Rattus norvegicus: one gene and its partners. The protein of the gene in region 2 purifies or fractionates together with the protein of the main gene of each other region. This does not show direct contact. Links are inferred from orthologs where the notes say so. Each region holds a gene or a part of one and is shown on either strand. Other genes may lie near its edges.

Evidence for each region.
Region 1: the proteins of Cbx5 (region 2) and Mecp2 purify together in Homo sapiens (affinity purification with western blotting; 3 studies listed by BioGRID, with this or other methods). This does not show direct contact. The link is inferred for Rattus norvegicus from reciprocal best matches to the Homo sapiens genes CBX5 and MECP2.
Region 3: the proteins of Cbx5 (region 2) and Ehmt2 purify together in Homo sapiens (affinity purification with mass spectrometry; 3 studies listed by BioGRID and IntAct, with this or other methods). This does not show direct contact. The link is inferred for Rattus norvegicus from reciprocal best matches to the Homo sapiens genes CBX5 and EHMT2.

Annotation. Positions count from the first base shown.
Region 1 is NC_086039.1:156,940,634-156,943,941, forward strand, and holds the end of Mecp2 (methyl-CpG-binding protein 2), read right to left. Parts: intron 2,580-3,308; coding exon 2,229-2,579; intron 1,728-2,228; coding exon 626-1,727; 3' UTR 611-625; downstream 1-610. UniProt on the Homo sapiens protein: Chromosomal protein that binds to methylated DNA. It can bind specifically to a single methyl-CpG pair. It is not influenced by sequences flanking the methyl-CpGs.
Region 2 is NC_086025.1:136,226,858-136,230,606, forward strand, and holds the start of Cbx5 (chromobox protein homolog 5), read right to left. Parts: upstream 2,262-3,749; 5' UTR 2,219-2,261; intron 2,075-2,218; exon of another isoform or gene 2,071-2,074; 5' UTR 1,971-2,070; intron 489-1,970; 5' UTR 443-488; coding exon 306-442; intron 1-305. UniProt on the Homo sapiens protein: Component of heterochromatin that recognizes and binds histone H3 tails methylated at 'Lys-9' (H3K9me), leading to epigenetic repression. In contrast, it is excluded from chromatin when 'Tyr-41' of histone H3 is phosphorylated (H3Y41ph).
Region 3 is NC_086038.1:3,927,127-3,930,749, forward strand, and holds part of Ehmt2 (histone-lysine N-methyltransferase EHMT2), read right to left. Parts: intron 3,427-3,623; coding exon 3,322-3,426; intron 3,226-3,321; coding exon 3,071-3,225; intron 2,975-3,070; coding exon 2,807-2,974; intron 425-2,806; coding exon 280-424; intron 97-279; coding exon 19-96; intron 1-18. UniProt on the Homo sapiens protein: Histone methyltransferase that specifically mono- and dimethylates 'Lys-9' of histone H3 (H3K9me1 and H3K9me2, respectively) in euchromatin.

The DNA of each region.
Region 1 (3,308 bases), on a different chromosome or scaffold from region 2:
TTTGCAAAATGTCCTTGTCAGTTTTGGATTGGGTTGGTGTGGAGCCAGACTTGTGCTACCACAGTTGGAATTACTGGGGCGCAATCACTTGCCAACTCTATAGTCTTCTCCCAAGAGTCCTATATAGTTTCTCCTGCGTCACACCTCCCAGTCCCTCAGATTGGGAGTTGGGGTGGTGTAAAAGTCAGGGAAGCTATGGACAGGGCATCAGTGGCACCAAAAATGGGAGTGTCCTCTCAATTGCCCTCTCTAATGAGCACACAGGGGATAGGGGTGGGGTGAGGAGGGAGGGGGTTGTTGTTGTGGGGAGTGCCTGGTCAACAGCTTGTCTGGTCAGTAGTATCTGCAGCAAGCCTTGTTGAAGGAGCCTAGTTTAGAAAAGTGCAAAGCTACTTCTGGCCCTGGTTAGGTCTTCAACCTGACTGTGCTTGTCGGTAAGAAAAACATCCCAATGCTCCAACTACTCCCACCCCGAAGCCACGAAACTCTAAGTTTACTGAAAGAAAAAAAAATATTTTTTATTTCAGTTAATCGGGAAGCTTTGTCAGAGCCCTACCCATAAGGAGAAGAGACAACAGCTGCCTTTATTCTTGTTGGTTTGCTTTGCAATCCGCTCTATGTAAAGTCAGCTAACTCTCTCGGTCACGGGCGTCCGGCTGTCCACAGGCTCCTCTCTGTTTGGCCTCGGCATGGAGGATGAAACAATGTCTTTGCGCTCTCCCTCCCCTCGGTGTTTGTACTTTTCTGCAACTGTGGTGGTGGTGGTGGTGGTGGTGGTGGCGGCGGCAGCAACCATGGGCTGAGTCTTAGCTGGCTCCTTGGGGCAGCCATCGCTTTCCAGTGAGCCTGCTCGGGGCATCTTCTCCTCTTTGCAGATGCTGCTGCTCAAGTCCTGAGGCTCAGGGGGGCTGATGGGGTCCTCAGAGCTCTGAGGCTCAGGTGGGGGTGGAGGTGGAAGCAATGGCATGGGGGCCTTTGGGGACTCTGCGTGATGGTGGTGATGATGGTGCTCCTTCTTAGGTGGTGAGGAGGCACTGCTGCTGCGCCCCTTGGGGCTGCTCTCCTTGCTTTTACGCCCAGGGCTCTTGCATGTCTTCAGTCCCTTTCCACTCTTCTCACCAAGTGTAGACACCAGCAGGGGCTTCACCACCTCCTTGACCTCAATGCTGACGGTTTCCCGGGTCTTGCGCTTCTTGATGGGGAGCACAGTCTCCTGCACAGACCGTATAGAAGATTCCTTCACAGCTTTCTTTTTGGCCTCTGCAGCAGCAGCTGCCACCACACTCCCAGGCTTTCTACCCCGTTTCTTAGGAATGGCCTGGGGGTCAGCTTCAGCTTTTCGCTTTCTGCCAGGGCGTTTGATCACCATGACCTGCGCAGATGTGGTAGCCCCACCTCCCTCACCCTTACCCCCAGGTGATGCTTGGAAAGGCATCTTGACGAGAAGTTTCCCAGGGCTCTTCTCCAGGACCCTTTTCACTTGAACACCTTCTGATGCTGCTGCCTTTGGTCTCCCAGTGCCGCTCCCTTTCGGGCGTCCCCGACCCCTGCCAGTTCCTGGAGCTTTGGGAGATTTGGGCTTCTTAGGTGGTTTCTGTTCTCTCCTGGAAGGGCTCCCTCTCCCAGTTACAGTGAAGTCAAAATCATTAGGGTCCAAGGAGGTGTCTCCCACCTTTTCAAAATATGCAATCAATTCTACTTTAGAGCGAAAGGCTTTTCCCTGGGGACTGTAGAGACAAACAGAGAGACAAACAATAGTCAGAAGCTTTTTGATAACGTAGAGACTGACTTAGAAAATGTAGTACTGACAAGCTTTCTTCTAAGACATTGTAAATGAACAACAAACTGAAGTGCTAAAATTATTGGAGGGCACACCTAGGTCAGATGCATAGTAGAAATCATGTTACAGCTTGCTCAGAAGCCAATGCAGCTGAATCTGAAAACAGAGGACCTGCCCACTTTCAAGCACACTTCTCTGTACTTCCTGCTTCTCCACAATACTGAAACCAAACGGGTGAGGCCTGGTACTTGGTGAACATTGGGCTGGGTCCAATCTGTTGGTTGGTACCCAGACTTAACCCAACACCAACACATTTCTGCATTTTAACCAAGGCATGATGTCCAGCCTCTTTGGGAAGCCATTTCAGTGCAATAAAGCTTTTGCATCCTAGCCTTCCCACCCACCTGGCCTTCCCTGTTCTGTAGACACAAGACTTGCTCTTACTTACTTGATCAAATATACATCATACTTTCCAGCAGAGCGACCAGACTTCCTCTGTTTAAGCTTTCGCGTCCAACCTTCAGGCAAGGTGGGGTCATCATACATAGGTCCCCGGTCACGAATGATGGAACGTCGCTGTTTGGGAGAAGCAGAGGCTTCTGGTACTGCTGGGGCAGAGCCTGAGCTTTCTGATGTCTCTGCTTTGCCTGCCTCTGCTGGCTCTGCAGAATGGTGGGCTGAAGGCTGTAGTGGTTCATGTTTGCCCTCTTTGTCTTCCTTCTTGTCTTTCTTCACCTTCTTAAACTTCAGGGGTTTCTCTTTGAGGCCCTGGAGATCCTGGTCTTCTGACTTTTCCTCCCTGAAGTATTAAACAAATATGTAAGTATTACAGAGAGCATAGCTGTCTGCACAGTAGTGAGTATAGGTGAGCTTGAATGCCACACATGAGACCCCTGGCTGCTGCATACTCTCTCTGATTTTGGTAACTTCCCTAGGACAATGTATCTTTGGGCCAAGCTGGGGCCCAAAGATTTCTTTAGCAGCTTTAGGTAGTTGGTGATGTTGGTCAAACACATTCAACTTTTATCATACTTCTCCAAACCCTAGTTCTAATGCTCTTAAAGTGGCACATGTTTTTTTTTTTTTTTAATTTTTTTTCTGGAATATAAGCACTGTAGGGCTGGCTTCTTAACATACCACTGTCAGAAGTCAGTTTGTAAGTTGCACCTAATGGCCCCTTGGGCTTGCCACATGACAAGACAAAACATGTAAGATAAATAAAATAATACAGCAAAGCCAGAAAAGGGCATTGGATCTCTTGGGACTGAAGTTACAGATGGTTGTGATCCACCCTGTGATTGCTGGGAAATGAATCCAGGTCTGCTGGAAGAGTAGCCAGAGCTCTTAACTTCTGAACCATTGCTTCAGCCCCCTGACTTTCCAATTCAAAGCAAGGACTGCAGCAAGAGATTTCAGCAGTGTAAGCCCCAGTTTCCTCATCTCAACATTAGATAATATAATCTCATCCCTGATGCATTCTTTTTGTGAGAATCATGGACAAAAGGCCCCAAGGTACTGTATAACTATT
Region 2 (3,749 bases):
TTATAATAATAAAAAAAAGAAATTAACCGAGGTCATTCACCTGTATCTTAGGGGATGGAACAAGAATCTGGTCCCACGATATCTAGCTCCCAAGTCTGTGTTTCCAACCAATTCCTTAAACTACTCTTCAAAAGTAAAACCATTAAAGTATCAGCTCCATAATAGGGACAGTGTGTGGTCTGCTGCCTGTTTTGATTTTCATGACAGTATGTAAATGGAAAAAGACAGATTATGGCTCATGGACAAAGAAACCAAAGCTTTCTAATCTCTACAAAGTCTTAAAGACTGAAAAAGAAAGCACTTACTCAGAAAAGCCTTTCCACTTCAGCAGATACTCCACTTGCCCTTTAACCATGCGCCTGTCCAACACCTTTTCCACCACATACTCCTCCTCATCCTCTGATGAAGAGCTGTCGGCTGTCCTCTTGGTCTTCTTTCCCATGTTGGGTATGTGTTGGTCCACCTAAAGGAGTGCGGCCACCAGGTTCCTGAAAAGGGGGAAAGATGAAATGGTTTAATCTATCTGAGGGTTAAAATTGTCTCTTTGTGATGGAACAGAGGATATAACACCAGTGAGACACTTATCCTTCTCTTTGATCTACAATTATTATATGACAATGCTACAAATTTAACATGGGTCAATCCACACTTCTCTAACAACTTCTCTTCAGCTGGAGATCAAAATTATTAGATGGAATAATTGTTTCACTCTTTAATTTCATATTCCCAAAGAGCAAACAGCATGCATGTTACTCCTGACCATTTCTACATCTACTTGTGAGCCAGGAACTCAAAAAGAAATATGGAAAGCCTTCAATTAAAGAAACAAAGAATAAAAAAAATCTTTTTCCATCAAGGTGAATAAAAGACCCTTTCCCCCCAATGCACCTGAATTTAATTTTTCTATACTCTGAACTCTCAGGATACACACACACACATCCTGCTTGGGCCATCTCTCACATTTCCATTGAATTGGTACATTTCCCTTAAACAATTTGAGCCTGTCCTTTCAGATTATCTATCAGCTCACAGAAGCAAGGCTGACAGCTCAAACATACTAAGTCTTCTTTTTAGCAAGCTCAGTTGGGGATAAAAGGGAAGAGGGGCAGAGAAAAAAATTTCAGAATTACTCACTGGACTAGTCTGTAATTCCCAGAGCTCAACTAACCTAAATAGTTCAGGAGGTACCTTGTCTCTTAACTGAAGTTGACTTTGGGCCAAAGGAAGAGGAAGGAGAAGTCTGGCCCCAGACTCTGCATCAACATGAAGCCTCCTAAGAACACAGAGGACTTATTCATCAGCCTCAGGCCCCAGAAAAGCCACAGCAAGGCAGCACAAATGGAAACTGAGTTAAGCTCAGAAATATGCACATCAGGAGTGCTCACAGAGAATCTAGTTTTTAAAATTCCCACACTGTTGTTACCATAATCATTTTAAAATAATTCTTTAACAATGTTAAATGGCACCCATAGTCTGAATTACCAAGTAGCAAGAATTGATTCTCAGTTGACTCCATTGTTATTTTGCTATAATCTCTAAAGATATTTTTCAGAACATTCCCATCTTGGCCAGAAAGCCAATCTCAGAAATAAAAAGGGCAGCTAATCTTAAAATCATGTTCAAGTCAAAGAAGCAGAAGTTGTATTTAACAATTTATTTAAATTATTAATTTGTAAGAAATTATTACAAAAATAAAGTGTTGAAAATCCTACCTATAAAACTGGTTAGCAAATAGGTATGCCCGCCTCAAAAACTGCTTATATTAATTTCTGACCTATGGTAACTTTATTTGAGAAAGGCTTGGGGGAATGTAGTTAAGGGGTTTTGAAATAATCTTTCCATTTATTTAGAAGACTCATAAACATCAAAAAATATATAAGGTTTATTTAAAATAAACACAGCCTCCGACCTCACCACAGACAGGAAATGTCATATTCCAGGGAGAGTACCCCACCCCCACCCCCACTCACCTTGGAATTTCCGGGAGCTGAGCACTTTAGGTCAGAGCGCTGGGTTAAAACCAGCCCCATGTTGGAAGCATGCAGTTAAGCATTGTGGCTATGGCCTTCCCTGCCTCACCAGGAAAAAAAAAAAAAAAAAAAAAAAAAAAACAACAAGGATTTACATATGTGTTCTTCAGTTTGAGGAAGAGAATTTTTTTCTTTATACCTTTATGTTGAAGAGAAGCCCTCAAAGTAGATCAATAGGGGTTCCCTACCTTACCTACCGGATCGCCCCAGTTCGTTCTTTCCCTCTGGGCTAACAGGAGGGGCCTCCCCTCCCAGGTCTGGGGCTTGGCGGGCTGGCAGCTCCCCCGCCCCCACCCAGCTGCCTGGGCGCCACTGCGCAGCTGTCCCAGTCCGTTGCCATGACAACTGGCAGCCGTACTAGACTAAGGGGGGGAGAGGCAAATGAAAAAGTTAAAAGGCTTAACTTTCCTTTTCACTGCAGACTGGGTGGAGAAGTTGGAAGGTATCTTCCCCTGGCCCCGAGGCTAAGGCTTTCAGAGCTCAAGGGAGTTAGGTTCTTTGTTTTAAAGTCCAAAATTTAGGCTTATTTCTCTAAAAGCGCTGTGAATTAATCAATAGCATTTTAGGACCACCTAACAGGATTATCGCTCACTGGAAGAAGGGGAAAAGCAAGATTAGGTACTACAACAGATCAGGACAATCAACCCTTTATCTAGAATCATTCGGGACAAAGGCTTTCCCATCATCTGTCCAGTTAATTAAAATTGCTTGAGGGGGAAAAGTAACAGGAAAGGGAGAGGGAAAATATTTTACTATGTAACATCTCTTGTTTGAGAGAATTACAACAGAACCCAAAGACTTTAAACAAACAATGACCAGGGATCAAGCTTTGTGATTTTGGGAGCTGATTATGGAAACCAGGGCATTATACTGTTGTTTTATTTAAAAAGCAAAACAACAAACCAAACAAACAAAAAACAAAGAGCCAGGATATGTTTGATAGAGCCAGGTACGGTGAGGTGGGAGGGGGTGCCTCTATGGGCCCAAGCTAAGGCATCCCTTCCCCCTGAGGTACCAGCCATATAGTATCAGCTAGAGTATGGAACAGAGTTTATTTAGGGCATGGGAAATGGAGTTGGGAAGGGAGTTGAGAGAGAGAGGCAGGGAGGGAGGGAAGGAGGGAGGGAGGGAGAGAGTGAGGAAAGGTCTGCCAGGAACAAGTGGAGGGAGGGGGAAAGGGAGAAAGTGGTCAGGGAGAGTATGAGAATAAGAGCAAGAGAGAGGAGGTGGCAAGCAGCCCCTATTATAGTTAGCAAGGCATACCTGGCTGTTGCCAGGTAACTGTGGGGAGGAGGAGCCTAGAAGAAATGCTAACCATACAGACTACTGAGCTACACCCCCATACCACCAAAGGAAAAAAAAAAGAAAAAGAAAAGAAAAAGAGGGCTGGAGAGATGGCTCAGTGGTTAAGAGCACTGACTGCTTTTCCAGAGGACCTGAGTTCAAATCCCAGCAACCACATGGTGGCTCACAACCATCTGTAATGAGAACTGATACCTTCTTCTGGTGTGTCTGAAGACAGGTACAGTGCACTCATATAAATAAAATAAATAAATCTTAAAAACAAAAAAGAAAAGAAAAGAAAAAGGAAAAAACCCTTTCAACTGAATTTACAGATGGGAAAAATTAGTTCCTTAGTTTAAAGGCGAGGGAGAACAAGTTGGCAACAGCCATCACAGTATTTATTAGTTATTCTTATAATGCTATAAAGCAGACTTT
Region 3 (3,623 bases), on a different chromosome or scaffold from region 2:
CAGGTGAGGGACACGCACCTTATCATACCAGCATCGGATGCTTAGCTGGCCACACAGGCAGTTGGAGCTGGAGCAGTCGTCAACACACGTGCAGTGCTGGGCGGGAAGGAGTGGTGTGAGTGAGAGGGCTCTCCCCTGGAGCATGGGTTCGTTTCAGGACGCTGGCTGGTGACGGTCCCAGCGAGAGGGGGAGTCTTCATGTGCCCCAGTGTGGAGGGACTCCCACATCAGGCTCCTTCAGCCCCTGCTCCCTCGAGCCCGGTGGGGCCTGTGTCTCACCTGCAGGTGAGTGATGTTTCGGTCGATGTTCATGGTGGACGTTTCACAGTTCTCGGAGATGTACTTATAGTCCTCTGGGCATGGCTCCCCATCCACGCCATTGACACAGGGAATGGGCACATTCTCATAGCCTCGGGCTACATCCCTACAGAAGGGCAGTAAAGTTAGGTAGGGGCCGGAGCATTCCTGAGGGGAAGCTCAAGGATTCCTCCGTATAAGGGTGCTGGGGTGGTGGCACCTTTAATCCCAGTGCATGCGGTGAGACATTCTTGAAAACAAAAAAAGGGAAGTTAAGACACCAGGGAAACAATCTCAGCTTAGAAATAATTATGTCCTCAACATCGCACAGGTTATCTTTGTTTCTTGGTGAGGCCCAACAACATTGTGCATGTGAGGCCAATAAACACTCTACTCCAGCCCCGGCCCCGGCCCCGGCCCCTTATATTCCTCTGTGAGATACAGCATCATATAGCCTGCTGGCCCCAAATAGCGAGATAGCCAAGAATGACTTGGACTCTTGACTCTCCTGCCCTAGCTCCCAAGTGGCTAGGATTAGAGGTATATGTCATCACCCTGCTGGACTCTGGACTTTTAAATTTTAGTTGGAGGCTGAGCCTTGGTATAATGCCTCGCTTGGCTGGCCTTAAAAGTGAGACCATGGCCTTCCCGCTTCCTTAGTGTAGCACTGACACAGACTGCAAGCACCCAGCTAGCACAGGACGCACTAGTATTCCTGCTCACCTGAAAAAACATTTTCTCATTTTACGTGTTAAGAATACTTTGCCTGCACTTCTGTATGCACCCCACATGCACGCCTGCTGCCCGCAGAGGTCAGAAGGAGGCATGGATCCTCTGGGTCATGGATCTGAAGTTACAGATGGCTGTGAGCCACCCTGTGGGTGCTGGGAATTGAACTCAGGACCTCTGGAAGAGCAGCCAGTGCTCTTAACCGCTGAGCCATCTCTCCAGATCCCTTTTTTACCCCCCCCCCCCCCCCCCGGAGCTGAGGACCGAACCCAGGGCCTTGCCCTTGCTAGGCAAGTGCTCTACCACTGAGCTAAATCCCCGACCCCCTTTTTTAACTTTTTAACGTGTTGCCTCTTCCTTCCTTTCTTTGAGACACTCTCATTCTGTAGCTCTGGCTATCCTAGAACTCAGATCCATCTGCTACTCCTCCCCAGTGCTAACATTAGAGGTCACAGTCCTTTCTGGCAGAGTGATGCACTCCTTTTAATCCCAGCACTAGGGAGGCAGAGGCACAGGGATCTCTGTGAGTTCAAGGCCAGCCTGGTCTACAGAGTGACTTCCAGGACAGCCGGGGCTACACAGAGAAACCCTGTCTTAAAAAAAAAAAAAAAAAAAAAAACCTCTCCTCAAAGACAGTGAACATTCCTGGTGGCCTCCAACCGCTCCCTTCTTGAGACAGCATCTCACTGTGTAGCCCTAGAGCCCAGAGATCTGCCTTCGCCTCCCTCCAGAGTAGTGGATTAAAGGTCTAAACCACCACGCCTGGCTTGAGGACCTTTCGCGCTCACACAGGATACAGTGTGGAATTAAGGTCAGAGGGCAACCTTCAGGAGGCAGCTCTCTCCTGGTGGGTTCTTGGCTTGAACTCAGAATGCACATTCAGTAGTTGGGTTGCCTCACACTAGCCTTGCGGGGTTTTTTGGTTTGGTTTGATTTTCCTTTTTAAGGTCTGAGTCTCAATAATAACAAATACTGATCTCCAACCCGTGGGCTCAAGAGGCAGGTCTTCCTCCAGCCTTCAGAATAGGAGGGGGTCACAGGTGACACCCAGCTCCTGTCTGAAATTCTTTTTTTTTTTTTTTTTAAAAAGCTTTATTTATCTTATGTTTATGAGCGCTCTATCTGCATGTACACCTGCAGGCCAGAAGAGGGCGGAAGATCCCCTTTCAGATGGCTGTGAGTCACCATGTGGTTGCTGGGAATTGAACTCAGGACCTCTGGAAGAGCAGTCAGTGTTCTTAGCCTCTGAGCCATCTCTCCAGCCTGTCTGAAACTCTTATTTGGGTATCTGCCTCAAACTCACAATCCTCCTGCCTCAGCTACCTCTAAGGCTTGGAAAACATGTCCTTTTCTTTATTTTTCTTACATATTTATTTATTTTTCATTTATTTTAAGAAAGATAAGGTCTCACCATGTGGCCCTCCTTGGCCTGGAACTCACTAATACATACAAACCAAGCTGGCCTCAGGTTCAAAACAACCAACCGTCTGCCTCCTGCGTGCTGAGATTACAGGGGTGGCCACCACACCCTGCCTTTAGCTTTTTTCAGGTGTGCGACTGTGCCATGCTGTGTGTTCGTAAGCCAGAGAAAAACATGGCTCTCCAGGGACTGCACTCAGTTTGTCAGGCTTGGTTGCAGGTTCCCTTGCCCACTGAGGGCCCCTTATTTCCACCTCCCTTAGAGGCAAGATGATTGTAGGAGCTACTGGGACGTCCTGCGTCTGGCAAGGGGCCTGAGACTGAAGACGTGGAGGAGCTGTGGCATCTGGGCTGCACTCACCGGCAGATGATCTTCTCGGTGCGGACAGCCCGGTTCCCTACCCCGAGCCTAAGCTTGCGATTGAGCTGCAGTGCAAACCACACATCGGAGCGCTCTGGGGTCAGATCCCACGCCGTGTCCCCTTCTTTGTTCCGAAGCTCAGGGTTGGCTCCACGGGACAGGAACAACCTGAGAGGGATAGAAAACCTGAGTCAGAGACTGGACAGTGGGGTGTGGGTGCCGGGAGTGGGGTGTGGGGAGGTGGGTCCGGAAGCTGGGGCTTACAGAACGCAGTCATGGTAGCTCTCCCTGGCGGCTATGTGCAGGGGCGTGTCCCCGTGGTAGTTGACAGCATGGAGGTCGCACTGGGCATTCAGGAGGACCTCGGCAATAGCGGCACTACCCGTGAAGGAAGCCCAGTGCAGGCAGATGTTTTCCTCCTGTGGAGGTGAGGGGCAGAGATCGGGTTGCAGGTGACAGGATCGGGGTCCCCCTGCTCCCCACCAGTCCCCCCAGCTCCCTTGAGTGCCCCTCACGTTGTCGGTAAGGGTGACGTCGGCGCCCCGGGTCAGCAGCATACGGATCACGTCGATGTGCTTGTGCTCGGCTGCCCAGATGATGGGTGTCCAGCCCCCACTGTCCTGAGGGACGGAAGGAGGAATGGAATCAGGGCCCAGACTTGCTGGCCAGAAAACGGAAGCTGAGGGGCACCTCTGGGAACAGCCAAAGCCAGAGCATGGGGCATTCCACAGATGCACACCCTCCCCACCCAGGCTCAGCGGGGTCCTCGCTGGATGAGCTCAGAGGTTAAGAGGAGGGACTCAAGTTCCATGAACCA